4 linked regions of the Rhinolophus ferrumequinum genome follow. The protein of the gene in region 3 purifies or fractionates together with the protein of the main gene of each other region. This does not show direct contact. Links are inferred from orthologs where the notes say so. Each region holds a gene or a part of one and is shown on either strand. Other genes may lie near its edges.

The links.
Region 1: the proteins of POLR1C (region 3) and POLR3F purify together in Homo sapiens (affinity purification with mass spectrometry; 4 studies listed by BioGRID and IntAct, counting the BioPlex papers as one, with this or other methods). This does not show direct contact. The link is inferred for Rhinolophus ferrumequinum from reciprocal best matches to the Homo sapiens genes POLR1C and POLR3F.
Region 2: the proteins of POLR1C (region 3) and POLR3K purify together in Homo sapiens (affinity purification with mass spectrometry; 4 studies listed by BioGRID and IntAct, counting the BioPlex papers as one, with this or other methods). This does not show direct contact. The link is inferred for Rhinolophus ferrumequinum from reciprocal best matches to the Homo sapiens genes POLR1C and POLR3K.
Region 4: the proteins of POLR1C (region 3) and POLR3G purify together in Homo sapiens (affinity purification with mass spectrometry; 4 studies listed by BioGRID and IntAct, counting the BioPlex papers as one, with this or other methods). This does not show direct contact. The link is inferred for Rhinolophus ferrumequinum from reciprocal best matches to the Homo sapiens genes POLR1C and POLR3G.

The regions. Positions count from the first base shown.
Region 1 is NC_046306.1:38,710,927-38,718,530, reverse strand, and holds the start of POLR3F (DNA-directed RNA polymerase III subunit RPC6), read right to left. Parts: upstream 3,020-7,604; 5' UTR 2,860-3,019; coding exon 2,729-2,859; intron 2,014-2,728; coding exon 1,896-2,013; intron 1-1,895. Other genes in the region: DZANK1 (double zinc ribbon and ankyrin repeat-containing protein 1), read left to right, coding at 5,539-5,647. UniProt on the Homo sapiens protein: DNA-dependent RNA polymerase catalyzes the transcription of DNA into RNA using the four ribonucleoside triphosphates as substrates.
Region 2 is NW_022680357.1:2,145,603-2,153,201, forward strand, and holds the start of POLR3K (DNA-directed RNA polymerase III subunit RPC10), read right to left. Parts: upstream 3,011-7,599; 5' UTR 2,963-3,010; coding exon 2,852-2,962; intron 1,149-2,851; coding exon 1,061-1,148; intron 1-1,060. Other genes in the region: SNRNP25 (U11/U12 small nuclear ribonucleoprotein 25 kDa protein), read left to right, coding at 3,377-3,418, 4,214-4,304, 4,543-4,648, 5,178-5,252, 5,699-5,756; RHBDF1 (inactive rhomboid protein 1), read right to left, coding at 6,941-7,360, 7,499-7,599. UniProt on the Homo sapiens protein: Core component of RNA polymerase III (Pol III) which synthesizes small non-coding RNAs using the four ribonucleoside triphosphates as substrates. Can mediate Pol I proofreading of the nascent RNA transcript.
Region 3 is NC_046286.1:12,846,942-12,854,424, forward strand, and holds the start of POLR1C (DNA-directed RNA polymerases I and III subunit RPAC1), read left to right. Parts: upstream 1-4,482; 5' UTR 4,483-4,560; coding exon 4,561-4,629; intron 4,630-4,751; coding exon 4,752-4,823; intron 4,824-6,018; coding exon 6,019-6,126; intron 6,127-6,370; coding exon 6,371-6,503; intron 6,504-6,783; coding exon 6,784-6,903; intron 6,904-6,998; coding exon 6,999-7,151; intron 7,152-7,308; coding exon 7,309-7,458; intron 7,459-7,483. Other genes in the region: protein YIPF3, read right to left, coding at 352-500, 594-717, 895-1,008, 1,205-1,336, 1,501-1,593, 1,731-1,776, 3,055-3,161, 3,358-3,555 and 1 more. UniProt on the Homo sapiens protein: DNA-dependent RNA polymerase catalyzes the transcription of DNA into RNA using the four ribonucleoside triphosphates as substrates.
Region 4 is NC_046290.1:59,272,591-59,279,476, reverse strand, and holds the start of POLR3G (DNA-directed RNA polymerase III subunit RPC7), read right to left. Parts: upstream 3,002-6,886; 5' UTR 2,881-3,001; intron 1-2,880. Other genes in the region: acyl-coenzyme A thioesterase MBLAC2, read left to right, coding at 3,607-4,060. UniProt on the Homo sapiens protein: DNA-dependent RNA polymerase catalyzes the transcription of DNA into RNA using the four ribonucleoside triphosphates as substrates.

The sequences.
Region 1 (7,604 bases), on a different chromosome or scaffold from region 3:
GTAATGGGTGGGATGGGCTCTTAGAGAAGAAGCTCTGGCCCAACCTGGGGATTTAGGGAGGCTTCCTGGAGACAACAGCAGAGCAGAGTCTTGAAGGACAATGAGGAGTTAGTCTGCGAATGGGAAGAAGGGCTTTCTAAGCAGGGAAGAGAGCATCAGCAAAGGACCTGAGACATGAAACAGCATGATGTGGCAGGGAACCAAAAACAATCTGTTCCCTCTGAAATGATGGAAGATGAGGTGGGTGAGGTTGGTAGGGGCTCAGTGTAGTCAGCCCATGAGTTTGGAATTGCATCTCTAGTGTTGAGAGGGTTTTTGTTGAGAAAGTGACTTGGTTAGATCTGTATCTAAAGACAGATCAGGCTGGCTGCTCTGAGATAGATGGAGCCGGGAAAACTACTTAGGATGCACTGTAATAGTCCAGGTAAAAGCCAAGAGCCTAAACACATGAAGGGGTAATAGGAATGGAAATAGGTGGACAAATTTGAGACTTGTTTAAGAGCTAAAATCAGTAATACTTTGTGATTTATTAATAATTACTCCTTGCTTAAAATTCTTCAATAGCTCCACTACTACCTATTGCCTATAGTCAATCGAACTGGCAGTAGGTGGGGTCACTAAGGTGATGAAAGAGAGGGAGTTGCTGAGGACGATTTTCAGACAGAAAAGAAAAGGCTGAAAGGGTGGTCAGAGGACAAAAGCATTTTCCATTTCCACAACCTCCCAGCATCCCTTCCTCTATCCTCCTAGATTTGAAGACCTTCACCATGGTGAACTACCTAGAAATCACCATCAGTCCTTTTTTCCTTATGCTAAAACTGGGGTCGGCAATCTGGCCCACTGCTTGTTTTCATAAGTAAAGTTTTATTGGAACCCAGCCACACCCATTTGTTTATATGGGTGGCCCATAGCTACTTTCCTGAAGAGTTGAGTACTTATGACAGAAACCATATAGTTTACAAAGCCTAAAACATATACTATCTGGCGCTTTATAGAAAAAGTTTGCCACCCTGAGCTAGAAGGTTGGAAAAAACAGTTTGACAGAAAGTTCACCTGTCCTCACACCTCCATATCCAGAGCCCTTGGATCCAGAAATCCAACAAAGCTGGTAGATTTAAAAAGCAAATAAGCTTTCAGATGAGTCCTCAGTATAGAAATCTTTTACCTAGTTGCTACTAAGACAAACTGAAATGCTCTCAAGATATGGGAGTTTTGATGATGGGTGAAAGGAAGTAGGAGAAATAGGTAAGAGCATGTGGCACACTAACAGGTGGGGTGTTTTTAGACAGTAGAGAATGACATTAGGGCCCCAGGAAGAGATAAGAGCAGGTATACGAAATATATCCCCCTGATATATAAGAGCAGGTATAACAGAAGAGGTAAGAGCAGGTACAAGGGCTTCATTGATAATCCCATCTAAAGTGTCACTCGGGGCTGAGCCTGCACTTCCACCCAAAGGCCCAGCACTGTTGATATTCAACGGGACTCATTCTCGCTTCTAGAAATGCTCACTGAGATTGTAAGAGTGATACCCTAATGAGCTGGCTTTGTGATGACTCACAGAAAAATCAGGGGAATGTATTTCGTATGGAAAGGCCCAATATCAGCAGTAGGAAGAAAACAGAAGATGAGAACAGACTATGCCTATGTGCCTTTAGGTATCTTAGCGACAATTATGTTAACAAATACAACAGTGAAAACAAAATACATTTATTTCATTCATCTTGTAAAATAATGCATAATTACTTCTTCTTTGCTCAGTTCTGGCAGTCTGAGTTGTTTCCTGGTTTAGAATCTTATCAGTCACAACCTTCTAACGTTTTCATGACTAATAACAGAAGTAAAGACAATCGTAATATATAAGTAATTACATGAACTAGTTGGATTCATCTTACCATGGACAAAAGTCTATTGATGGCCACTGCCCGCTGCTGGGCTTCTATATGAGGCATTTCATTCTGAATTACTTGGTCTGTGATTCCATGAGGGAACTGGTGACATAATTCTATAATCCTACGAACAAAGATATTAATGATATTACTCATGTTTTTACTTATTTCAAGAGACAGTGGGGGCAAATACTAGCAGAACAATTTGAAATTGTGTCCTTTTTACATTTGGTACATAGTCTGGCTTCTATGATGGTTCTAAATCAACGCATGTTAGAAATTGAGGAAGATGTTTTTGAAATACGTTTACATTATTATTGTTATTTAAGGAAAATATGTTTTCCTCATTAACATAATCTTTAAATTAGAATAAAAGTCAAATGAAAACACAGAAAAAGATATTAACGCTGCGGCTTCAATTTTTTAAGATGCAATAAGTATGACAAAATTAAGATACAGCATTGGGCAGGTATAAGTCTGCAAGCAGGAGTCATATCAGACATTTCTGGTGGGAAGCCAAAATTGGTTATAACAATTCACAATTGGGGCGTGGTTTTGGAATTATTCCCACCAAACAAAAATAAGCCCATTATCTTCCCTCTGTCACAGGATCATCATGTATGTTATTCATAAGTTTGAGGAAGTTGGGATCTTTTCAAACTATGTGGTAAACCTAAAAATAGCAGTGCACTCATAGAGAATATAACATCAGGAATATAACATTTGACGTGCCCTAAAATCTTGACTTAAATACTGCCCCGAAATTATTTTTGGATTAATGTTGCTTCGTAATCACTAATGCACTCTAACTTCGCCCAAACGTTCTGTCCTGACAGTTCCCATAGCGATAAAGGCAATCCTGTATGAGAACACGTATCCTCAAGCACCACGCAGAAACACCGAGTTTTCTCTGAGCGTCGACCACCTTAACGCAGGAAGGAAGCGCATCATCACAACTTCCGAACAGCATCCGGACACCGACACAAAGTTGCAAAGTGTCAAGCTCGTTTTAAACTTATTAAGAGTTCTGCTGTCCACAGGTGGAAGGTGTTCAGATCCGGTAATCCCCTTCCTGGACGCTCACTGAACTTGCTCCAGCATCTACTGACTGTCCCGAAAAAAGTCTGCCCAAATGACCGCCTGCCTGCGTGGGCTCCCGAGCCGGGAATCGAATCTCACTGATTTACCTGTTTTCTATTTCGACTGGATCTGCGTCAGGCGGCTGCATTTTCACCTTCACTTCAGCCATGGGACGCAGTTCCCACCTCGGGGGAAAAGAGACGCACGGAGCAGCCAGATAGCGAGCTGGGGATCCAGAAAATCGGCAAAGACAGCTTCAGGCGCGGGCGATGGGTCTTTTTCCTCGTGTCGCAGACGGTCCTTCCTTGCCTGTGGGCTTGAGGTGCCCAAGCCACGCCTGTTACTCGTCACTGGCTGGAGCCGCTACACCTTATTCTTTTTTACCAGAATGTCAGTGTCTGTCAGACGAACGAGCCTGGTTCCATCATTCTGAATTGGAACGCCACTTTTTAGCACTTTCCAATCTCTGTGAAGGCATATTCTTGGATGCCTATGTTGAAACCTTAGGAAAGGAGATTCAGGCGGATTCCCCTCTCCTAGCCAAACAGCAGGGCGGATCTGGTTGCTAGGAAGCCGGATTTCCGCCAATCATCTGCCCAACTCAGTGGGCGGGGCGCAGCTCCCCGCGTCTGTGGTAACCCAGACCGTGGCAAAGGAGAAGGCAAGAGGCAGTGAGAGGTGGGTTTACTGGCTGCCAGTGGCGGAGGCGCCTTAGGGGTTACAATCTGGGTTCCGGTAGCCAGAGGAGGAGGAGGGCATTCCTCACTCCAGCCGAAAGGAAGCAGGTGTTTCTGGCTGCTCCTGATGGGCGGGTACGCAGACCAGACGGGGCTCCAGATTTGGATCCGGTGGCAAGCAGGCAATGTTGTTGGGGTTTGGAGGTGCTGTTTATCCTACCCTCCATTTGGGCCTAGCGGATTGGTCTCCTTCTTGATCCTCTTCGCTTGGGGCCCATTCGCCGTCCCAGCCTCCCAAGGGCAGCTCCTAGTTGCCGCGCGCGAATTACTTCCTCCTCAACTATTTTTACTTTGAACTGATTTTGAACTACTTTAACTGCCTCTCACATAAATGGAAAGTGAGGACTGACAAGCCTCCCTAAACCAGCCACCCTTCTGTAGGGGCTAGTGCTCTATCAGTATTTGCAGTTCAAATTCTTGGCCTCTGACCTGGAGCTATATAACCAGGCATTAAGATCACTCCTTAAATTTAGTTATCCCAGTTTTGGGAATACAGCCTGTGACAAAACTCACGCCACAAGAGCATCGTTATTTGGAATTGTAACAACCAAAACTAAAAAGAAACTAGTTATATGTTAAATGCCCAACCACATATTGATAAATAAGATTATATGAGTAGGTGGAAAATTGTAAATAACAGAAAAATTGCAAATAATAATAGAGCGAGGGTGCAATAACTAGACTGTAAAAAAAGAATGAATATATAGATTATAAATGAGCAAGACATGTATTCATAATTTGAAAAGGCTATTTAGAGATGTAAATGGTTGCTGTATTAAGGTGAGGGTTATTTTTTTCCCTCTGAATCCTTTAGGTATTAAAAATTATGACACCTCTCAGGAAAAAGATCAGTAAGATCTCCACACTCATACTTAATTATTTATAAATATAGTAGATGGAGTGGGAGACTTTTGTTACCTGTTGCTCACTGTTTATGTTGGTACCAACTTCCTTTCTGCTGAGGTGTGATAATCTGCCATCCTCCTAAAGTTTCTTTGCAGGTAACAAATGTAAGTACTTGGCTACAACTGCAGGACCCTGAACCTGGAGCTTTCTCAAAGGACTTGGCTCTAAATGAACATACTACATGCTACTGTGTTTCACCGAAAATAAGACCTAGCCGGACCAGCTCTAATGAGTCTTTTGGGACAAAAATTAATGTAAAACCTGGTCTTATTTTACTATAAGACTGAGTCTTATATAATATAATACCTTATATATAATATAATATAACATGATAAGATATGATATGATATAATATAACTTAATATATAATATAATATAATACTGGGTCATATATTAATTTTTGCTCCAAAAGATGCATTAGAGCTGATGGTCCGGCTAGATCTTATTTTTGGGAAAACAGGGTACATACAGTGTTACTTCTGTTTTTCCTGTGTGATGACTTGCCCTGAAGCCAAGAGAGGTGGGAGATAAATAAGAGTCAGGAAAGTGTAATAATAATGATCCAGAGGAAGCTCTGATGAGATCATTAGTGAAGGTCTCTGTTCTAATATATTCATTTAATTTGGCCATTTAAAATAATTCCATTCCCCCATCCCATTCATCCATGCTCTTTTCACAGAAGTAAGTATTTAGATAATCAAAACAACACACAAGATCTCAACAGCAAAAATACAGCTGAAACAATAATTATTTCAATTAAAAATTGAATAATATTTGTAGGTGATATATTAACAGTATTCTCTTTAGCTTTTTCTAGTTTTACTATATTTTTGTAAACAAGGTGTTTCTCTTCAGCTTTTGTGTTGAAATATAGGTGGCCATTGGAATTTATTTTCATACACGTTTTAAAAATATAAGCAGGGAAAATGACTGCTGGTTCAGTGTGTGTTCCTCAGATCATACCACTGCGAGTGCCTCAGCCTGGAAAAGCCAACCATGAAATTGATAACAATACACTTTTGGAAATGAAATCAGGTAAGAATCAAAAGTACTCGAAATCGTTTAAAATAATATTGCCATACTCTTTATGTTCATCTGGTTGTTGATTTACCTCTTTGCGTGTTTTCTATAATCAGGACCTTTGGAAGTTTTTAAAACTTCCAAAATTTGAAACAGTGTTACTTGGTGGTTTGTAGAGTGGTGTGTATTTAGAGTGAAACAATTAGCTTTGATCACCCTTTCATTTGTATAGGTCCATAGTTGCAGCAATGCCTTGACTCACCTTCACCAAGATAAGATGCCTGGTACCATCCCAATAATGAGGATGCTCATTATTTTGCTGGGATAATAAATTTGATGTACTTATACAGGCTTTCCAGTCAGACAGGTTGGAAAATGAATCCTGGCTTTGACAACTTCTGGTGATCTTTGGTACATTACGTAGCCTTTCTGAGTCTCAGTTTGCTCATTGTAAGTTAGTGATAATATCTACTATTTAGAACCATTGTAAGGATTAAATGAGTTGATGTGAGGTACACAGGGTCTAGCATATAGTAATGACAAAATATATCTTAGCTATTATTACAGAAATAAATCAGTGAATGAATTCCCTACTAATGCCAGAAGTGTGTGTGTGTGTGTGTGTGTGTGTGTGTGTACGTGTACACACACACCTTTATGTACTTATACATAACATAAGAAGGAAGGAAAGTTTTATAGATAAAGCATGAATAAATACTTGTTTGAAACAGACTTTGAGATTCCAGTTACATACTTTAATAACTGATATGTGTGAAAATTATTTATCTCTAGTTATGTTACAACCACTATGCTTCGTAGACTGAGAGTTCAAACTAAGAATATATTACATTATACCCTGTCTCCTTTATCTTAAAAGCTAATATTTTTTAAAATTCTCAGAGCAAAATACAAATTTTCATATATTTGCCCATGATTCTTAGATGTTGGATGGTTATTGACAAATGATGATATGAATGAGAGGGTATCCAAATTCTTTAACATTTAAAATGTCTAATAAATAAGAGGTTCTACAATTCAGTGACAAACAGAATAATAACCCAATGGAAAAATGGACAAAGGATGTGAAAGGACATTTTATAGGAAAGGAAATATAAATGTCTTTTAATCATATGAGAATACAGTTCTAACTACCCCTTTATCTGCTTGCTGAGCAGACCTTATCCCCTGCTTTCTTCACTCCATTGCATTTAATCACCAACTCAACAGAAAATATATAATTTTTGCTTTTTGTATGTCTACTTTACTGTTTGTATGTCCTTCCTAAAACAGAAGCTCCATTAGAACAAGGAGTTACTGGTGTATTCCCCGTGCCTACAATAGTATCTGCCACACAATATGTACTTGGTAAATATTTGTTGAAGGAATGAATGAATCACTCAAAATGTAAGAAATGTAAGTTAAAACTGCAAGATACCTCTTTTTTTAATGTAGGAGATTGGCAAAAACAAAAGAAAAATTGATAACACACGATATGGATGAGATTGTTTGTAAACAGTCACTTTGATGCATTGCTGGTAGCAGTGTAAATTGTTTCAGCATCCATGGAGGGAAGTTTGGCAATATTAACCAAAATTACAAATACACATATCTTTAACTCAACAGTACTAGTTCTACATATTTTACAGATGTACTTATAAAAATAACTCTTTGCAAGTTTATTATAATGCTTGTAATGGCAAAGAAAAAAAAAAGAAAGAAACAGAAAAGGAAAACATTTAGATGTCCGTCTGTAGGGGATAGGTTAAATCTACATAAAGAGAGAATACAATTCAGCCATAACACAGAATGAGGATGCTCTTTATGTACAAATATAGAATAAAATCCATATTGTTAATAAAAAAAATGTATGGAACAGGATATGATATGCCACCATTTGTATAAAAAGAGTGGGGGAAATAATATGGACATATATGCCTGTATGGATATAAAATATATTTGGAAGGATACTCAA
Region 2 (7,599 bases), on a different chromosome or scaffold from region 3:
CTTGGAAACACTCTCCTCCCCGCCCTGTTTTTCTCAAACTGTTTTTTCTCACTGTTTTTCTCAAACCTGGTAGAAGACTGGTTGGAAACGTAACACGGCTGCTGTGTGAATTACGGGGCCCACGCCGTGCAGACTTCCCCTAACAAATTCATCTCCATCACCTGGGACGTGGAGACGCCCTCTCTTCTTCCCAGAGGAGCTGCCAAGGGCTGACCAATCGGCTTCCCCGAGTATTTAGGGGTCTATTTGGCAGTAGCTCCTCAGGCTGCTTTTATCAAGATCTCACCACACATACGTACCTTTTCCGAGGACCCCAGGACACATTTACCTTCAAAGGTTTTTACTTTGCGACACTAACCCTGCTCTTGATGGAAACACCTTCAAAAATTCTCAAACACCATTTTGGACATTCGGGGCATAACTTAGCTTTTAATGACAACTTCTGCCTTTGCTAAATTGTTCACGTGGCGGATCTGGGTACCGGTCCAGAGAGGCAGAGCAATGGCACTAATCTTACTTCGCTGTTCCTCCCCTCGGCGCAGGTTGTCTAGGGCTCTGCTCTGCCCTTCCTTGGTCACATCTATGTCTATCAGAAACGAATCAAGACTTGAAAGAAACATTTATTTTACTGAGACTGCAGTTAGGTGCTCTCTGGTATTAACGTTTAACACGCCGCATGAGAACAAGACCACCACATTTATTTCCCGCGACTCTGATTTGTATTATTCCTGACCTTGTAGCTATCGTAGCTACCGCCTGTAGAATTGCCTGTTATATGCGAAACACTATAACTCACTTGGGTGCTCTCACAACCTATGAGTGTGGATTAGCCCTGGAGCGCTTCAGGGACCCCAGCAAGGTCATAAAACAGTAAGAAGTCACCCCGAGACTTTAACTCAGGACTGCACGACTCCAAGGCTTGTGCCAATATCATTGGAGTTAACAAGTAAGTTCTTAAAGCGCAAACACACTTTCTAAATACATCACCGACTGCCACGGAGCAGCAGCCAGTGGCTTCATACTTACCCACCGCTCAGTTACAGAAGGCTTTCCCTCTTACCTGCAGTAGAGTCAACATTCTCCCAGGCAGCTGCTCCACCAAGCACATCATCCACTTCTTTGAGCTTTGGATACTTCCGATTTGTTACCTAACAAACAACAGCAAGCCTTCAGACTCTCCAAGTCAGTGAACAGTGCAACCGTGGGCCACCAAACCACACCTCCACAGCTGCCCTCAAGTGTCTTCCCAGACTGTCTTCCTCCCAGCCAGCAGGGAGACTAAACGAAAACAGTGTTCCCGCTACCACAGAGCAGGACGCACCACTGGAATTTAAAGAACCTACGATTGGGATGCCCCCACAAGAGAAGAGAGAGATTCAGCCGTCAGAGAAGATCTCTGCAAGGATTGAATGAAACACCAGAGCAGGAAGACACGATGGCTTAGGTGTGACCCTCCTCTACGCCCATATCTCTAAGATACCACCGCCTAACCCAAGATGTGAGAAACAAATACACCTGAAGCCAAAGAGTACCAGCTGGGGAGCCCAGCCGCTCCCCGCAGGCAGAGAGCTTTCAAAGCACTCAGTTTCTTTCCCAAGTTTTACCCGACATCCTTGAAATGTCAGGCTTACGTAAGAGTTCACTCTTCTCATAGATCCAGACTCTAAACTCCCACAACACAGCAATATGGTGCAGTACACAAACACTCAGAACGGGGTGGCCCCAAGGGGCTCTACTTCTAAAGAGTAAAGATGTCGTGCAGGGTGTCAGGCGGGGTCTCTGGTCCCACTCCCCACATAAGAACGCAGGACATAGTGAGGCCAAAAAGGAACACCCACGGAGCCATAGGTAGGGGAGTCACACCACTATATTCTCACTGGCGGCTGGGTTGGAGACACAGGAAACCAGGAGCAACACAAGTCTCAACCCTCACTGCTCCACTTGCTGGCTCAGCCACCATCTTCTCGCTAGCCCCCATTTCTGTTAGCCTAGCCACGGCAGTTATATTAGTGCCCAATGGCTCACTGGTTACAGCTGACGGCCAACTAGCCACAGCTGATGGCCATTTGATCAGTCGATGGCCATTTACTACCTGAGCCAGCACCTTGCTATGTGAGGCCGAGAGCCTGGAAACTGCTTTTTGGGGCTCTGTCCCCACAAAAGATCAAGGGGAAAATACCGAGTCCTAACACCGTGAGCACAATTCACCGCAGTGAACACCTCCACATCCTCAGTTCCATCCTCGGCGTTCCGACTAGCACACAAGAGGGAACAAAACAGAAAGAGCCCTGCCCTCCTACAGCTTAGGTCTCGGCTTCGGTAAACAAAGCACGTAAGTAAATTATACCGTGTTATTAGAAGGTAAGGAGTCCTAGAGAAAAACCAAAACCGGGAAAGAGGATAAAACGGAAGGGCTGCAATTTTACACTGAGTGATGATTTAAGTGACGACGTGACAAAAGAGTGGCACGGCTGTCTTAGGGGAAGTCTGGACCGGACAGGAAACGTGGGCAAAGGCGCTGCTAGTAATGCCACGTCCATCAGGGGGGATCCTCCAAGAGGCTGGTGTTTCTGGGGCAAAAGAGCCCCTTTTCTGACATCAGAAAAGCAAGGCTGGGGGGAGGGGCGTGGTGTCAACGCTCGGTCTGCCCCGCGAGCACATTTCACGCTGGCGAACTGCTGAGCGTTACCGAGCGCAAGACGGACTCGATCTGACTTCGGCGTTACAAGGACCGCTGTGGCCTCGGCGGTGACCACGGCCAGGGCCTCCACCTTGCGTCCTGACAGGGGTGGAGCACAGCCGGAGGAAGCGGGAGGCCTGCGGGGGCCCGACGCCGGGCTCCAGGACCCACCTTGCGGGTGATGTTGTGCACGTAGGGGCAGGTGTTGCAGGCGAAACGGTGGCAGCGCTGTCCCTCCTCCACGATCAGCCCGTTCCCGCAGCCGGGGCAGAAAAGCAGCATGACGGCGGACTCAGCCCCGCAGGCTCCCGGCAGCCCCCGCGGCCGCCCAGGAGCCGACACTATGCCCGCCCGCCTCGAGCTCCTATTGGTCCTGGCCACCTTAGCCCACCAATAGACACGCCGATGTCGCGCTCCCAGCGAGCACCGCGGCAGGCCATCTCGCACTTCTCATTGGTCCTCGCGGCAGCCAATCGACGCCCTAATGTCGGAACTGACTGCGGGTTTTGCTCCGCGGGCGAAAGCGCCGCGCCTCGGTCTTGCAGACGGACGGTGCGGGCGGAGCGCGCTCGGCAGCGAGGCGCCCTGGAGGCGGCGGAGGCGGCGGCACAGCCCGAGGCGCAGGACGACGATGAGGACGAAGAGGAGGCGCTGCCGCACTCCGAGGCGGTGGACGTGTTCCAGGAGGGTCTCGCCATGGTGGTGCAGGACCCACTGCTCTGCGATCTCCCGATCCAGGTGCGCGCGGGCAGGGTGCAGGCGTCGTGCCCCGCCGGGACGTTCGTCGGGTGTGGATCCCGCGCGGTGCTGATGGGGGCTGTGGCCCAAAGGCCTCAGGAAGGCACCTCTGGGCGTAAATGAGGGTCTTAACCAGGGCCGAGCCTGGGGCGGGGCGAGCGGGGCTCTCCCGTGGGGCGCGGAAATTAAAGAAGCGCCAAAATAAATAAATCAATCAATAAATAAATAAATAAATAAATAAAATAATATTTTAATACGTTCATAACACAAAGTTGGTGTAAAACCTATCGCCAACAAAAGAAGGACGAGATCGTTAGTGCCGGTTTTTTCCCTTCTCAAGCTTCAGTATTCTTTGGTCCATCATGGAGTTTTCAAGTTAACTTGTATTTTCTTAAAAGTTGTATTGGCAACGTGTATCATCGCACACGTGCCTCAACCTTCTCCAGAGGCCCGGGCTTGGATCCTGGTGATCAGAGGCTCCCAGAACGCACGGGCAGGCCCAGGGTTCTTCTTCCTACCCAGCCCCTGGATGAAAGGATCCATCCTTCTTGCCTGTTCCTGTGCTCCTTTCTCCAGAGCCTCTGTCCGCTTTGGACTTTAAATGGGAAATGTGGGTGGCACATGAGATTGAGGTGCTGGACTGGGAAACCCTGATATATAAGTAAGAACCCTTTCCCTTTCTCATCTTTCATATAACGTTGCACCACTCTTTGGACAGTACCACCTTGTTTTTCTTTGTTGTCGTTTTGGGGTGGTAAAGCCAGGGCTCCCACCTCCCCCCTTGGTCTTTTCTAGGTTACTTTGGAAGAGGTCAATTCCCAAATAGCCCTAGAGTATGGCCAAGCAATGACAGTCCGAGTGTGCAAGATGGATGGAGAAGTCATGCGTAAGTGCTGCCCTCCTCCCTTCAGGCCGTGCAATCTGAGCTTTCACAGGGGCTGGTCAGTGGGACACTCAGGGGCCATGCCCATGGGTGTTGGGGCAACCACAAGCCCACCCACCCAGATTTGAGCCTCGGTCAGAAACAAGGCTTGACAGGGCTTCTGGGTTCCTCTCCCCCCACCTGAGGCTGTGGCTGGGGCTTCCCACCATGGATCTTCTCCCTTTTGTGTCCCTGGTTGCAGCTGTGGTCGTGGTACAGAATGCCACAGTCCTGGACCTGAAGAAAGCCATCCAGAGATACGTGCAGCTCAGGCAGGAGCGGGAAGGCGGCATTCAACACATCAGCTGGTAAGTGGCGCCAAGGCTCTTTGCATCCCCTCCTGGGAGCTGGACTGGGACTCCACAGGACTCCGTGTGCTTTTTAGTCACTGAGCCCTGTTACAAAGTACTGACTAAAGTGATGCGCTCCCTGCCCGGAGCTTTCAGACAGGGCAGGTGCTTCTGTGCCTGGGAGTCCTGCATCACCTGCTCTTTCATCTGCATCACCCCACCTAGGCAGCTGGTATCTGTACTTAGGGACACCTTAGGGCATGTGTGATGTGTCCAGAAGTGGTCTCCTAGTTACAGACGGTACATCCAGGACTTCTCCTGGATGTTCTTCTCCTCCCTTGCATGGCCCACACGGCCCTCATAGAGCCGGGCCTCCTTGTAGCCGCCTCAGGCACAGTGCACAGTGTACAGGAAACAGCCCAGAAGAGGCGGCCGGCTGCCCCGGGCCCACAGAGCTGAGCACCGTGAGCCGCTCTCAGTCACAGCGTCTGCATCCCAGCTGCTCCACTCACCCTGCTCACGGTTTACCTGAAACCCTACCTTGCAGGCCCTACGTGTGGAGAACGTACCATCTGACCTCTGCAGGAGAGAAGCTCACAGAGGACAGGAAGAAGCTCCGAGAGTAAGTCCAGGCCACATGTTGAGCTACAGGCAGGCATTTGGGCGGTGCCGTCTGGTTACACATGCTCTGCCAGACGGCTGGGGCCCCCTCCCAGGAAGGAGGGATCCTCAGTCAGTTCCTGAGGACTCTGTGAGACCTACAGAGGACCCTGGCTGTGCTGACGCCTCCCGCTGGGGGCCCCCACGAGGAGAATGCGGGTGGAGGAGAGGGGTGAGGGGCCCTACTGCTTCTCACCAGTGGCAGTTCAGGGCAGCACAGAGGCAGAAGAGGGGAGAAAGAGTGCATGGAGGTGAAAGGCTGCCCCCTGGTACGTGTGGCCACTGCCCCCTCCTGGATGCCACACTCTTCCCACCTGTTCTTTCTTGGTTTTTCACCAGCCTCAGGTGAGGAGTCCTGGATGTACCCTTCTGGAGATCAGACACTTGACACCTTTCCTTCTCTTTCAGTTATGGTATCCGGAATCGGGACGAGGTGTCTTTCATCAAAAAGCTGAGGCAAAAATGAACCCCTGGACGAGGACAACTGTGCCGGTGACAAGCTCTGCCCAGCAGGAAGCAGCTTCGGGCCACTGTCCCCTTGTCACAGGAGAATGTCAAAGTGAGCACAGGTGGACTTGTCTGAAGCCTGGGCCCTCAGGACTAGGACCTGACGAGCCAGTGCTCGTGACCTGAGCTTGACCCCTCCCTGAGCCCAAACACCCTCATCTCGTGGCAGATGCCACAGGGCTGTGGGCCAGGCCCTGAGTACAGCATAAACCTCTCTGCTTCTGACCTGGAAAAGTCCACAAGCCACGGTCCCGGCAGGAGGGACGGGCACTGCGGCATCCCAGGAGGCAAGGGCAGAGAATGGGGCCGGTGCGTCCTGAGGGCTGCGGAGGCCACCTGACCATTACTGTGTCCCCCACGGCCAGGAGGAAATAAATGTGTGTCCCCCACACGCAGCTGGCTTTCTCTTCTACTTGTGCAGAAACAAACGGGCCTGTGTGTGAGAGCACAGCCGTCGGCAGGGCCTCCCGCCTTGGCCCGCAGGACTGTACAGCGGTGCCATCCCCTGGCTCCCGGAAATGGAGGGGCCTGGGGCAGCAGCTGGAACTGCTGGCTGAGCAGGGAGGGCGCTTCTCAGTGTGTGTGGGGGGGAGAAATGACAGCACATCCCTGGGTCTGTATCCCATTGTGGCTACCGGTAACTAGGAAGGGAGCTGGGGGCAGGGGGTGCAACCTGGCTGAGGGACTTCCCTGGGAGGTGTTTTGTATACTTCGTTCCTTGTCTGGGGAATTGTGAGTGAGAGGAACGTCCCGCCACAGCCCCCAGCCAGGAACGAGAAAGCAGAAGGCAGCTCTGGTCAAGTTAGTGGCAGCTAAAACGCTCCCAGTCCATTTATTGGCCACCTGAGGTGGTCGTCAAGAGACTAGTTAGAAGGGAATCACGGGAACTAGTGTAATAAATGCCCAGAAGTACGAGAGGGTCAACAGCAGTGAACAAGGCACAAGAGGTCTGTGTCCAAGACGCGGGCGGACCCCACACAGGGCTCAGGCAGCCCTGTCCGTGGCCTACGGACCCCACACGGGGCTCAGGCAGCCCCGTCCGTGGCCTGAGAACCCCACACGGGGCTCAGGCAGCCCCGTCCGTGGCCTGCAAGGCTCGGGGTGGACGGCGCCCGGGAGCAGGTGGCCCCAGTGGCCAGCAGCTCAGTGGAGCTGGGCGTCCAGCTCGTACTTCTCGCAGAACTTGTCGGTGAAGGGGATGCAGGTGAGGAACTCACACCACTCACAGCGCACGGGGTAGAAGTAGAAGAGGACCACCAGGCCGGCCAGCAGGCCCAGGAACACGGCCTGGAAGATGAGGATCTGGCAGCGCTTGCGGTACAGGTCGAACCTGCCGAAGCTGACGTAGGGCAAGAAGGCGAAGGACAGGAAGAGGCCGCTGACGAAGCCCGAGATGTGGGCGAAGTTGTCGATCCAGGGCAGCAGCCCAAATGTGAACAGGAAGAGCACCACCGCCAGCAGCTTGAAGAAGGCGCGCCAGGGCCGGGCCAGGATCTGCCAGCTCTGGAAGAGCTCCACGAAGAGGCACGCCAGGATGCCGAACTGCGAGCCGGCCGGGCCCACCTGGGGGGACAGGCAGTGCGGGCCGAGTGGGACCCCCGGACCCACAGCCTCGTCCCCTCATCCCGCCTCCCGTGGCCTGGAGCACAGCAGGATCAAGGGCCCGAGGGGACACGCTCCCAGGCTGGCACCCATCCTCACCTCTGCCCGGTACGGCAGGAAAATGGCACTGGCTAGGTTCCCGGTGACGCCACTCAGCAGGTAAATGATGGCGATTCGGTGCCAGCCCGCCAGCTTCTCCA
Region 3 (7,483 bases):
GGAGTGGTAGCTGCAGTTCCAGACTTCAATCCATATTTTAATTACCAAGTCTATATTTAGCAAGACAATGTGGGAAAAATAAAAAGGAAGGAAGGGATGGGTGGTGAGAGGGCCTCCCGGGCGCTGACCCACTTTCTGCACTGACTGCAGAGCGCTGCAGTCCTGGCCACGAGTTCCTGGCCTTGTGCCCTTCGGAAGCCCCGACCAGCATCAAAGGAGGTACTTAAGCAGCTCCGGCTCTGTGGCAGCTGCCGACCCCATCAAAAAGACACATGTCATCAGCACTGTTCTTTAATTGTCCTCCACTCCGCAGCTGGGGAAGACGGGGCTGGCCCAGGATTTCAGGTGGGGTCAGTGTGAGTGCAGGGTCACCGCGACGGCCTTGGTTGTGGCATTGAGCACGACAGCTGATAGCCTCGCAGCAGGGAGCACGGCAGGGATCTCTCTGGGAACCCTCTGCATGGGTGGGATGTTGGGACCCTCCAGGGTGTCCAGGATCCCTGCGAGGGAGATGGAAGGTGAGCGTGAGCTGGCGGGGCACCGCCCTCGGCAGCGGTGGCCCCCTCCCCGCACCCCAGCCTCCTGGCACTTACCCTCCACCACCTTGTGGTAGGCAAAATGCAGATAGAGCAGGAAGAGCATGTGCAGGGCAGCCAGGGTGCCACAGAGGAGCAGCCGCTGCGTGGGGCCCACAGTCCGTGACACCAACACTGCCACCTAGGACCACAGGAATACAGCTCAGGGGGCCTGGCTCCAGTGTGGGGAAGCCACTCCTCCCTAGAGCAGAACCATCTTTGGGCTCTGGCGTCCCACTCAGAGCCCTTTGTGGGGTTTTGCCTGCACTAGGGGCTGCTGCCCCCACCTCCCCAGGAGGACAGCCCCTGCCCATCTTACCATGCGCAGGGTGGATAGCCCCCCCACCAGCAGCCAGAAGAGGTAGAAGAGGGCGTGGAGGTGGATGTTATAGGTGACGAACAGGACGATGCAGTGCCCGAAAAGGCCATAGCCCTAGGGAGGAGGATGGTGGAGAGGAAAACCATTCAGGCCGGGCTGGCCTCTGGACCCTCACGGAGACCCTGAGAAACAAACGGTCGAGCGGCCCGCTTACTCCATTCCCAGCCCTGGGGCCGCAGCACAGATGCAAACCAAGGCCTGGCTCCTCTTGTAAGACCACCCTTGCCCACCACCGTGCTGGACTCCTTACCAGCAGCGCCAGCGTCTGCAGCATGGTGATCTGGGCGTTGCACAGGTAGGCGAGGAAGTAAATGAAGGACGAGACACCCAGCCAGTAGCCGAAACAGGTGCCAATGGCTGTGCCCATCAGGGTGCCCTCCCGCTGTGGGGGGAAGGCTGTGCTTAGTCCTGGGAGGCCAATGGCCTCAACCTCACCCAGGGCCGTCCTCAGGGCTGCTTCTAACTCGCTCCACCACCGTCTCTTTGGGCCGCTTTCAACTCAGTTCAGCCACCCCCCAGCCCTTCAAAGTCCTCTGTCCTGCTTACGATAATGGTGTCAGATGTCTTCATCCCGTGGAGGAGGATGGCAACCAGTGTGAAGACCAGCATGAGAGGTCCGTAGAGCTCACCTGCGATTTTCTGTCAATATACCAACTCATTCAGGCTGGACGGTACAATGGCTCTTCTGTTGATTTCTCCCCAGGCTTTGTCTGGTGGCCCCACCCTCTGACCGGTGCCTCCCCCCGGCTCTTCTAGTCATGCCACCCCCTATTCACCTGGGGGAAGTTGACCATCTTGATGGGGATCATGGACTCCAGGAGCCTGGGAGAGGAGAGGAGAGGAGAGATGAGCGCAGAGGCAGCACGAGGCTATGAGGTTCTCAAGGGCCTGAATCTCACTCACTTCTCTAACTCCAGAGAACATGCTGGATGGTACAGGGAGAATGAGGAGATCACTTCCTTGCCCCTAAAAATACTTCCAGGAAGGGCAACCCTTTGATGCTGTACTGACAGCTGCAGCAGCAATATGAACTCAGGGAGCCCCGCTGGGCCTTGGGAAAGGGCTTGACAATTTACATATGTGACGTGCTCCCCTCTAAAAGGCAAACTTCAGCAGAGAATGCCCAGAATTCCACACTGTAATAGTGCAGGTTACTTGAGGGAACCAGTGTGCCTCCTGCCTCTGTCTGCTTACAATTGCCCCAGGCACTGTCGAGCATTTTCTTAAAATACATTTGAAGTGGTGTGAAAATTCCAGGCAGAAGGAATACAAGTACGAGTACAAGCCACTTCCCCGTTCTCTTAAGTGGCTAGTTCCTAAAAATACCTTTGAATTTGGCTGGATTTTACCCTCCTCTGTGAAACCTGCCCTGTTCCACCTCAAGCCTACTCTAGGGTCAAGAGTCCCTTCTATGTGTCCCTTCATAGCAAATGAGTGCTACACTGTAATTACACTTGAGAGCAAAGCTCTCATCTGGCTTCACCACTAAATCAGACACAGCTAGTAGAGTACCTGGCACAGAGCAAAAGCTTAGTAAGTACTTGCTGAGTACACTGGGTATTTGGTAAGCAAGACTTATGCAAGTATGAACAAAGAAGCAAGCCAAAATTAATTCCAGTTTTTGAAATCATTCAACAACTATGTACCAATATTCTGATTCAGAGGTTCTTCTGGTGCTTGGAATGAAAAGATAAACAAAACAGAGCCTGCTTTTGAAGTGGTCTCTGGGGAGACAGACTCAAGAATAAGAAAGTACAGCCGTGCTGAAGTGTTATTTATTAGGGGAAAGCGCAGAGCAATACGGGAGCACCAGGAAAGGACAAACCAGGGATGAGGCTGAGGAATGGGGAACAAAGGAAGCGACATTTGAGCTAGGTTTTGACGAAAGATGAGTAGCTTACTAGATGGACAAGAGGAAGAAGGCAGTGTGTTATCAGCATGTCCCGTTCTGGGATTGAGAGGAGGAATGGCGTGGCTGGGGTACGGGTACAACGATGAAGGCTGCTGGTGTCATGAAGACGGGTGTCTAAGGACTTGGTCTCTGTCCTCTGAAGGACTAGGTGTGAGGAGGGCAGCTTCCGTCAGGAGAAGGGTCCTCACCTGCTTCGCACCTGGGCAGGCTCCACATCAAAGTAGGGTCTCAGGATGTCGATGTTGGCATACAAGCTGAAGGCCCTGGAGGCTTGTCTCTTTCCTGCCTGCCACATCTGAAGAAAGAGGACGGGCGGGGTGGGTGGCTAGTGTGAGACTCTTGGCTCTCAGCCCTGTTGCTGATTTTCTGTTGGATTTCTACATGGTTCTAACTGGACAACCTGGGGTGACTGACCGTCATCAACACCAACTCCAGAACCTGGGGCCTCCTAGGTGTTTTTTTCCACCTGCCAGGCATCCAGTCTTGCTTACCTGATCAGCCACCTGCCGGCTCAGCTGTCCCTTAAAGCCCTTCATGCCCAGGAACTCCCCATCCTCTTCTTCAGCAGCGGCTGCATCAGCATCGACTTCTTCCTCGCGCAGACGCTGATGCAGCTCACCCATATCCTCGAAGCTGGAGCCTGACGTATCATCCATGTTCTCCATGTCAATCACAGCTGAACCCCCACCCTGTGAAGACAATAGCTCCTCGTGTGCAGGACCTTTCTGCTCCATCCATTAAGTGTTTCTCTGTTCCTCCCAGGACTTGGGGCTTTGTCCTTCCACTGAGGGGGATATGGCCCGGAATCACCATAGATGGTGCCACTCTTCTCCTCATTTGCTCTCAAAATCTTTCTTGTTTGGCTCTCTTTTCTAGCCTGGGAAAGTACTCCCTACCTTTCATACATGTCTTCCTCCTACCTTCCCTACCAAAGTCTCAAAGGGCTACAAATGTGCCCAGTTCCTTTGTCTCTCCCAACCCCCATGCAAGGTTGTGCACACAGTATGGTTTTAGCCAGTGCATTACTCCCCCACCCGCTGCCATGCCTGACCCCGACCGACCTCCTAATTTGTCCCGAAAGCAAGAGCGGGTCGGCCCAGAGAGCGAGGCCCTCTGACTGGAGTACAAGTCTGGCCTTTTCTGGTCATCACTGGTCCCACTGACTTTCGTGTGTGCTCGAAGAGCCAAAGGAGAGAACCAGTGCTGCAAATGGAGCAGACTTCCAGGCCCCGAGGGAGAGTCCCCACGACACTTCTGGACGACTGCCGACCCTGGGGCAGCTGGCAGCTGAAGCCTTGGGGCCATTACCTGGATGTTTTCTTCGAACCCTCCCCATTCTGGGCCAGCCCCGTTTCGGGAGCCGCCGGCCGGCGCCGCCGTAGTTGCCATGTCCCTCGAGGGCTCCCGTCGCGGAAGCCTGCCCTAGCCCCGCTCGTGGAGGAGTGGGAGAGACGTAGGCCTGAAGAAAGGAGAGGTCCAGGGGCAAAAGGGAGGCGGGATCAGCCGGAATGCAAAAAGGAGAAACCCGGATGTTTGGCCAAAACTAACTTCCGGAAGCTGGGGACGTGGACGGAGACAGGGCAGAATCTCGCGATATTTAACCTTGAAGGCGGCGGGGCGTTGCCACGGAGACGGAGGAGGGCGATTAGAACGCAAGCGCCAGTTGCTACCCTAGTCACGTGGAGGGGTTGAAGATGGCGGCGCCCCAGGCAGTGGAGGAAATGCGGGGCCGCGTGGTTCTCGGGGAGTTCGGGGTTCGCAATGTAAGCCTTGCGGTCTTGAGCTCGGGAGGAGAAATGAGAGTGGAACAGGGATGAGTTGGGATCGGAGTGGGGACGGGCTTGGCCTCGCTGCCCCTTCGCGGACAGACTCTTCTCTGCTCTAGGTTCATACCACCGACTTTCCCGGTAACTATTCCGGCTATGATGATGCTTGGGACCAGGACCGCTTCGAGAAGGTGGGTGGAGCCGGAGGTGTCCGGAGAGGGTATGAGGATCGGACCGTGTGATCTGAGCAGCCTGTGCCTCAGAAGCTGTCCTTGGGTTTCGCTCCGTTCCTAAAACGTTTATTGAGCACTGTGTTAGGCGCTCCGTGTACACGGTTTCTGCTCTGGTCTGCGAACAAACTCAGTCTTGTTGGGGAAGAGCGCGCGTAAGCAAATGATTCCAGTATAATGTGGTAAAGGCGGTTGATAGCACTAAGGATGACCGGAGGTGGGTCGGGGGCTGTCCCATTCCGCAGAGGCACTTAATCTAGAATGGGGAGGAGGGCAGAAGTAAAGTGGGTCAGCATGAGTGGTAGGCAAGATTGAGTAAAGTGTGTCTTAGACACTAGGTGACAGAGCAAAGGGGAGATAAAAGGTAGGTTTAGTGATTGCTTTGTATCAGCCGTGAGGGGAGACTGTCAAATGACGCAGCTTGGGGAACTGCTTTGATGGATGGTGGTGTCATTTATTGATGAGAACTGGGGCTGGGGAATGATGATGATACATGCTTTCAGTTTCCTTCAGGTGGAGAAGTCTAGCAGGCTAGTAGAATATATGTTTGAATTGAGGTCAGAAGTGAGATATAATTTGGGGAGCTGTCAATAGAGATAGTTGCTAAAACCATGAGTGTGGTTGAGGTCACTCTGGAGAGAAAACTTGGGAAATAGGTTTGGGAAAGCAAAAACTTGGGAAATCGTAATATTTATGGAGTAGGTGGAAGACAATGAATTTGGAAGGATTGATCAGAGAAGGGAGAGAACCAGAAGATTGGTGCTCAGAAATCAAGGCAACAGAGTTTGAAAAAGGAGGGATCCTATCAACAATGCCAGATACAACAGAGGAATGTAATAAGGATCGAGTAGTGTCTATTGGACTAAGCAGTGTGGAAGCGTGTTCTTTAGCACAGTAGCCTTTGCGGATGGTCTGGCTGGAAGCCGTACTGCAGAGGATTGTAAATGAATGGAAGATGAAAACAGGGAGACTTTTAAAAAGAAACTCATAAAGGAGGACTTGGAACATCTAATGAGGGCCATCTGGGCAAAGGGAGGTTTTTGGATGAGACAGAATGTTAATACCTTGAGGGGAATATCGGAGGGTGGGGGGGGGGCCCGCAGGTATTGACTATACAGAGAGCAAGCATCATTTAGTGTTTTTCTTGTCCCTTTAGAATTTCCGCGTGGATGTGGTACACCTGGATGAAAACTCATTGGAGTTTGACATGGTGGGGATCGATGCAGCCATTGCCAATGCTTTCCGACGCATCCTGTTGGCTGAGGTATTGGTGGGTCTGGCGACGGGGTAGAGTTGCACGGGGAATCCATGCCATTGACCTCGCTTGTAGAATTGTGTCAAGGTTTATTTTTCCTGCCGTTTTGCTGAGCATTCCTCTTGCTCATTTGTAAACTTCTAATCAAGGCTTCTTCTAGGAAGAGGTCTCTCCCTATCTCTGTCAGCCGGCGGGGAATAGATGCGGAGTCTTTAAGGTCTTTGTAGATGAGTGGTTCTGTTTTGTTGGGCAGGTGCCAACCATGGCTGTGGAAAAAGTCCTGGTGTACAACAACACATCCATTGTGCAGGATGAGATCCTCGCCCATCGCTTGGGGCTCATTCCCATCCATGCCGATCCCCGTCTTTTTGAATATCGGAACCAAGGTGAGGGTTTGAGAAAATGAAATTTGGGGGAAAAGGGAGCAGCTCTCCTCCGCAGAGTAGATTCTAGAATCAGACTGCCTGTATTCAAATCCTGGATTGACTACTACAAGACCTTAGGCAAGTGACCAATCTTTTGGTACATCATTCTTTTTATCCATGAGAACCCCTGCCCTTGCCTTACTAAATTTGTCCAGGATTACAGGAGAAATTGAATGCATTCAGCATGGCGCGCAAATATTCACTAGTCCTTTAAGAGCTGCCACCTCCTCCCTTTGTGCAGGAGATGAAGAAGGCACCGAGATAGACACGCTGCAGTTTCGGCTGCAAGTCAGGTGCACTCGGAACCCCCATGCTGCTAAAGATTCCTCTGACCCCAATGAACTCTATGTGAACCACAAAGGTGCGTGTTGATTGGTAGGGTAAGGAAGAGGGCCCATCTGGTGGTGGGTGCCGGTTTTAGGGACTGGGGTCTTCTTGATGTGCTTCTCCCTCCAGTGTACACCAGACACATGACGTGGGTCCCCCTGGGGAACCAGGCTGACCTCTTCCCGGAGGGCACTATCCGACCAGTGCATGACGACATCCTCATTGCGCAGCTGCGGCCTGGCCAGGAGATCGACCTACTCATGCACTGTGTCAAGGGCATTGGTGAGAACCCTGGGGGCTGCCCTGGCGAGGAAGGTAGTTCCCATCCAGTGGCGTGAGGTGTGACTGAGGGACTCAGCTAAGATGTGATGGGCAGAAAGCCAGTGGGCCTTTGGGAACGTGAAGAAGGGTTTTCCCACAGGCGCTGTTTTCCCTCTAGGCAAAGATCATGCCAAATTTTCACCTGTGGCAACAGCCAGTTACAGGCTCCTGCCGGACATCACCTTGCTCGAGCCCGTGGAAGGGGAGGCCGCTGAGGAGCTGCGCCGGTGCTTCTCACCGGGTGTTATTGAAGTGCATGAAGTCCACGGTACGGTATTTGGTCAGGTCAGGAC
Region 4 (6,886 bases), on a different chromosome or scaffold from region 3:
TCCTTATTTGGAAAAAGTCTTTGCATAAGTAATCGAATTAAGATGGAGTCATAGTGGATTAAGATGAGCCCTCTTCCAATCACTGGTATCCTTATAAAAGGGAAATCTGAATAGAAAGAGAGAAACACACAGTGAAAACACCATGTGAAGATGGAGGCAGAGATTAGAGTGCTGCAGCTGCAAGCCTGGAACACCAAAGAGTGCCAGGAACCACCAAAAGCTAGGAGAGAAGTATAGAACAGCATCTCCCACAGAGCCTCCAAAAGGAACACACCTGCTGACATCTTGATTTCAGACTTCTGGCTTCTAGAAGCGTAAGAATTAATTTCTGTTGTTTTAAGCCATCCGATTTGTGGTAACATGTTAGGGCAGCTCTAGGAAATCAATACAGCTATGGAAAGAAAACAAATCATGGTAAAGGGATAACAAAGGAGTATGGTAGTGGCTTTTGCATAAAAGAAAGGTCTTTTTGTGGAGGATAAATCTGAGCACTGTGCTGGAGTAAGCCTGGGAGCCGTAAGATGGATGGATGGGGTGGAGATGATTACAGAGAGAAGCAACAGCAAGTGCAGAGGAGGAAGCCACAGCTCTGGGAGTGTCTGAAGAACAAGAAGCCCATGTAGCTGGTGAGGAGTGGGGAGAGGCTGGTCAAGGTCAGAGCTTGTGGAGCCCTGTGGGAGCTGTGGTAAAGGGTTTGGCTTTTATCTTACTTATGATGGGAACTGCACTCACGGAGATTCAGAAATGCAAAGGTCACAATGGTCCTCATGGCAAAATCCACTGGCCTTTTGTCCTCATTCATGTTCTTGGACTTCTGAACTGCACATCTGATTACTGCCTTCTCTCTTTTGAAACTCTCTTTCCTAGGCTTTAATAAAACTCCAGTTCTCCTACCCCAATGAACACTTTTTTTGGTCTACTTCTCTTCTTAAACCCCCTAAGTATGGATATCCTTAAAGTCCGATCTTTGGTCTCCTGCTCTTCAGAAATGCACCCACTCTTGGGGTTTGATGACCTCTCCCTCTCCATTACCTCCAGCAATGACCTTTATCCAGAGTTTCAGCACATGCTCTTACTATCAGAAAAATATTTGGACAGTACCTTAAACTTAAAATATTGAGTTCATCTTCCCCCTACACTAACTAGCTTACCTTTCATATATAAGGTCCCTATTTCTACCCATGGTATGTTATTTTCCCAGACACCAACATGTGAACATTTGGAGTGACTCAGTACCGATTTCTCATTCTGTTCCACCCCTACTATCAAATCCATCATCTAATTCTTCCTTCAAAATGTCCCTTCCTTTCTATTTCTTCTACCATAATCCAGCTTAGCTCTTTCCCACCTCACTTTGATTAACTGCAAATTTTGTAATATCCCTTGTTCTTCCTGTTTGTTTTAATTTATTCTTCCAAAATATTCATCCTAAAGCATAATTCTGATTATATATTATTCTCCCTATTTTGCCTCTAGGCTAGAGAATTAAATCCAAACTCCCTATCCAAATATTCAGAGCCCTTTTAAGATGGCTGCACCTATCCTCCTGACTCATTCTTCTGTAATCATGTCCTGACCATGATTCTCTCCACTGCACCTACTCCCCTTCTGCCCTGCCTGGCTGCGCCCCTTTTTTAACCTTATAGATGCAGTTTAAGTTGCTCAACATCAGCAAGAGTCATTTCATCCCTCCTTGCTCTTGGTAAGATCCTCCTGTTAAAATAAATGGATTCTTAAAACTCCAGGTGATATGTATTACTACACTCATCAATTCTGGAACACAGGTATTCCCCTTTTGGGAAATAGGCCTTTTCCAAAAGGAAGAAGTTTCACTCGTTTGTCTCTTTCTTCGACTGTATTAATAGAAATTTTATATCCCCCACTGTCTTCCCTCAAATTCTTGAGAACCCAGATTATGATCTTTTTACACAATTCTGTTCTTTACACATCTAGCTCTAGGACTTGCACTAAGGGTAGCCCTGAACAGAGTGACTGGAAAAAGTCTAAGTTAGGAATATATTCAGAAAGGCTGCGTCCCCACCAAAAACTTTAGGAGCTTAGGGGAGGAGAGTACACATCTCCTTGTATGAAGGCTTACTAGTAAGCTGCCACAATAAGGGTTTTTCATAATTCTTTTATAATGCTGTCTCATGAGTCTATAAAATTTTTCCTGGCTGAGTAGGGAGGTTAGTCAAGTTCTCAAGGGGATTTCTGCAGCCTAAATGGTATTTCAATAGTTGAGAGGTGCGGAGTGGAGAAAGGGGCCTGGCTTTAATACTGAGGGTGATTTATGTGGCTGGCGGGCCACACCCAGTTATTATTCACTTTTTTTTTATTTTCACAAGGTGTGGCTGCCTCCACTTTTCTTAGTTGAGCCTATCAACTCTCTTTGCTCTCTTCCAAGAGCGGATAAACTTAAAAAAGGAGGGTGGAGAAAGAATATAGAATTTAATTTTTCAGAAGAGGAAAAAAACTTCATTGACAACCCCACTCTCCATGATACAGGATAAAGTGCCAACAATTACGAAAACATACAGAATAGTCTGTCCTTAGCTGCAAGCCTGCGGCAATGATTCATGCCTGAACCAATCGTATAGTCACCGGATTTGAAAATCTACCATCAATCAGTAAGAGCACTAATTCCTTTCTAACTCACTGCAAACAGTCCCAGGAAGTGGCGACTAGGTAAGATATGGAAACGATGATTTTAAAAGATTTTGAAGGGATTGGAAGGGGAGGTAAAGCTATCTCTCAACGCACCTCAACCGAGAAGCGCGTCAATGAATTTCCACCCGACTTCCCCCACCTTTCCATGTGCCCCTTTAATTCCCCTCTACCCTCTCCATCTCCTTCCCAGCCCTCAATTGCTTCCTCTGTTACCTGCTCACTAAGTCTCGGAGGCTTGGGCAAAACTGTGCAGCCGAAGCGCCGGCCGGCAAGGAAGGGGTGCGGACAGAACGCGCCGGCGCCCGGCGCAGTTTCCACCTCTGGAGAAGCGCGCTCCGCCCTCCCCGAGGCCTCGGAGCCCAATTCGGAACCCAACCAGTTAGCCCCGCCCACTTCCTAGCTAGGCCCCGCCCGCTGGGCGAAGAGCTTTTTATCCCTTGGCAGGCGCCGTAGCTGTCCAACCCGCAAGGTCTGACTCTGCGCGGGCTGGAAGTGCGCATAGCGGCGCACGGTGGGTGGGCGGATCTGGTGCCTTCTACGACTAGCTCCCGGCCTCTGCAGTTAGACGCCCCCAGGTTGGGGAAGGGTCGCCTTGTAGGTCTCCAGTGGTCCAAGCGTTAACGCCTTCCTGTGCTGCGGCTACAGAGGCTGCGATTCCTCCAGCGCCCGGGGGCGGGCAGAACAACCTCTGCTTTCTGCGGACCTGTCGTGGGAGTAAAGCGACCACGACAGGCAGTGTCTAGGTGCCTCCTTCCTCCTAATTCTACACCCCGCATCCCCCGCACCCCCTGCACCACCCGCATCCCCCTCCCCCTCCTTGCTCTGCGCCACCTCCCTGGCTGCCGGCAGACCGCTCCACGCCGCCGCAGCGCCCGGAGTCTGGACAGCCTGCGGGAGGCACACACGCCCACACTCACCCCTCCTGCACCTCTTCCCAGCATGTCGGCGCTCGAGTGGTACGCCCACAAGTCCCTGGGCGACGGCATCTTCTGGATTCAGGAACGCTTCTATGAGTCTGGCAACCGTGCCAACATCTGGCTGGTGCGCGGCTCCGAGCAGGACGTGGTGATCGACACGGGCCTGGGGCTGCGCAGCCTTCCGGAATACCTGTACTCCTCCGGCCTCTTGCAGGACGGCGGGGCCAAGGAGGACGCGGCGTGCCGGCCGCTGCTGGCGGTGGCCACCCACGTGCACTTCGACCACTCCGGTGGTCTCTACCAGTTCGACCGGGTGGCCGTGCACCACGCCGAGGCCGAGGCACTGGCTCGCGGGGACAACTTTGAGACCGTGACCTGGTTGTCCGATAGTGAGGTGGTACGGGCGCCCAGCCCCGGCTGGAGGGCCAGGCAATTCCGAGTGCAGGCGGTACAGCCCACCCTCATCCTGCAGGATGGTAATGGGCCCTCACGGGCGCGCGCTCTCTCATTACGGGAGGGGGTTGGGAAGAAACTGTCCGAGGGATGCATGTTGCAGATGTGCGTGGCTGTGAGGGGGCTTGTTTTGCTACATTTCAGAAACACCACTTTTGTTTCTACCTGCACTGACACTCGACCAGAGCCAAGGCCATCGCAGCCTTCCCTACCTGAGACTAGCTCTGGCACGGTGTAGCAAAGCTGAGTACTCGAATGAAAGCCGGCCCCACCCCCTTGTCCGTTTCCTCTGCGAGGTGTAGTAGTAACGCCGCAGAGACTCGTGACTAGGAATTTCCCGTTCTTTTCCCGTACACCTGTCAGACATTTCCAGGCGCTTTTCTAGAGAGAAGACTTTTAAGGAATGACGCCTCAAGGAGAGTGCATGTCATGCTCTCTGCTTTTGCGAATTGCTGACTTCATCTGCTCAGTGACCGCCGGCTATGAGCAATTCCCACCTGTAGGTTTAGAAAGCCATTAGAGAACAGTGGTTGCCATCTGCTCTTGCATCTTTATCTTCCAGATAGATTTCTGTTCTTGATGTTGCCTCACCAGAGAAAGAGCCAGGTAGGGTACATAAAAAGTAGAATATGTCTGAGTCTTACATTTTGATAGATATCTGGTCTGGTTGAAAGCAAGGCCTGGGAAAGATTAACACGGAGATTATTGCAGGTGATGGTTAAGTATGTGGACTAATGCATCGGTAGCCCTGGGCTTCTTAGACCCCATGTAACATAGAATAGGGTTCAGAGAGAAACTAATGGAACAAAATACGAGTAGGGCCCCTGTCCTCCGAACACTATGCAGGCACTTAAATAATTCAGCTAATTGGACAGAGAAGCAATATTTGTATATTAATTTCCTTTTTTCTTTTTAGAATACTTTCGTTGATTTCATTTTATTCTCTCAATATTTGAAGTGAGGTGGTTAATAATGACAAAAGCTAAGATTTGAACCAAGGCACAATATGTCAAAGCATGCAGATCATACAAAAATCCTACTGCATAACTATATTATGGTAATTCCAAGTAGGATGTGAAACCCCCTTTTCCCACTCTATCTTGAAACCATTTTAATTGCCAATTTAATTTATTAAAATATTCTTCGAAGAGGTAGCAAAATCCAGCTACTGCTATGTAATACTCTCACTTTATGACCAACCAATATGACAAATAATGAAATATTTTACGAAAATCAGTTTATCTTACAGGTGAGATTCTGATCACTTGAGATATAAAAAATATAAAGCAAGATTCTATATCTCACACCCTATCCAAAGTCTTTCCATTTAAAATTTAAATCTAAGGGTTAAAAAAAAACTGGTTGAGAGGGGAATCTTATATTACCTAACAATTTGAGAGGAAAAAAGTACATTTACATTAAATATACTTTTAATTACTGTATATCTTGATAGAACTGATACTTTTAGAGGTAAGATTTCCATGTAGTTGACGGGTATTCAGAATAAATATTTTCTGTCATTCCACAAGAAATGTTTACATTATTATTTAAAATATATTTAAATTGTCTACACGAATAAATTACTTTTTGGTTTATTTACTTTTTCTCTCTGCCAGCAATAGGAAATCAATGGTGAAACAGTGATAGGAATTGATGTTTCCTAGATGAACAGTCTAAGCAGGCCTCAATATCATACCTGAGATTACACTGCCACTTTGGGAAAGAGCTGGGAATAGAATCCAGGTTTCCAAAATCCAAGTTGCTGCTAGAATTATAGCCTTATAATTATAATTAAAGCATTTTGGAGCTGCAAGGGGCCTGCAAGCTACCTGTTTGGTGCTTTAAGCCTTTGAAGGTATGAAAAGAAAGCTTAATATTTACCAGACACTTTGAAGGTGATAATACTGTGTTAAATCAAAAGTTGTTTTTCACTGGGAACTGGATGCCTCACTCTGTCAAGGAGTATCTAATTTCCACTTTTCTCGAGAATATTAATTTTCTTATCATCTCTTCTGAATGGTGTGGTCTACTAACTTGCTATCATCATAATCCTGATGCCTGGAAGGAGATATAAGATATTTATATTAAAATTCATACACAGTCACACACACACACATCAGCAGCACATACCGAACAGCGTAGAAGCTTCATTGCTTTGGTTAGAACATGGAGGTTGAAGTCATTAAATTTCATTTAGGTGAATTGATGATTACCTGTGTTAGAGAAGCATAAATATATGCACTGTAACCCAAAAGATGACTTGTAAATGAGGGACAAAGAGGACAAGGAGAAATCATCACCCAATGCATCATCTTTGATGGAAAACAACTTGTCCTACTACCTGTGAAATAGTATCTTCCTCTAAGAAGATTGTGATAAACCTTAGATTGATAGAGCACATTCTTCTTGAATGGGCACACATTTTGCCTATTTTCACAATATTCAAGTGATATGAATGAAGTGCAGGCATTTTGGCTCCTATTAGGCATGTTTAAACAGTTTGCCCAGTGTCACCAATAGGATAAAGCAGTTGTTTCAGGTGGACTTGAATCATTTGGGGACATTAAAAAAAAAAAAAAAATAGATTCCAGAAAGGTAGCAAAATGAGCAAATATATCTAATTTGACTCCCTTCCAAAACCCCATTAAGACTACTGTAAAGGGACCGTGGTTTGTTCATTTTAAGTATAAATCCACATTGACTGACGAACTCTTTGGGATGCTGGGCAGGTGACAACTGAGTTAGCAGTTTTATCCTATTCCAGCAATGGGAAATCAAGAGCCAATCCAGTTTGCACTGCAGGAGCCTTAAAAGGAATTAGCAGTAGCAGGTACTTTAGTGGGGGCAAA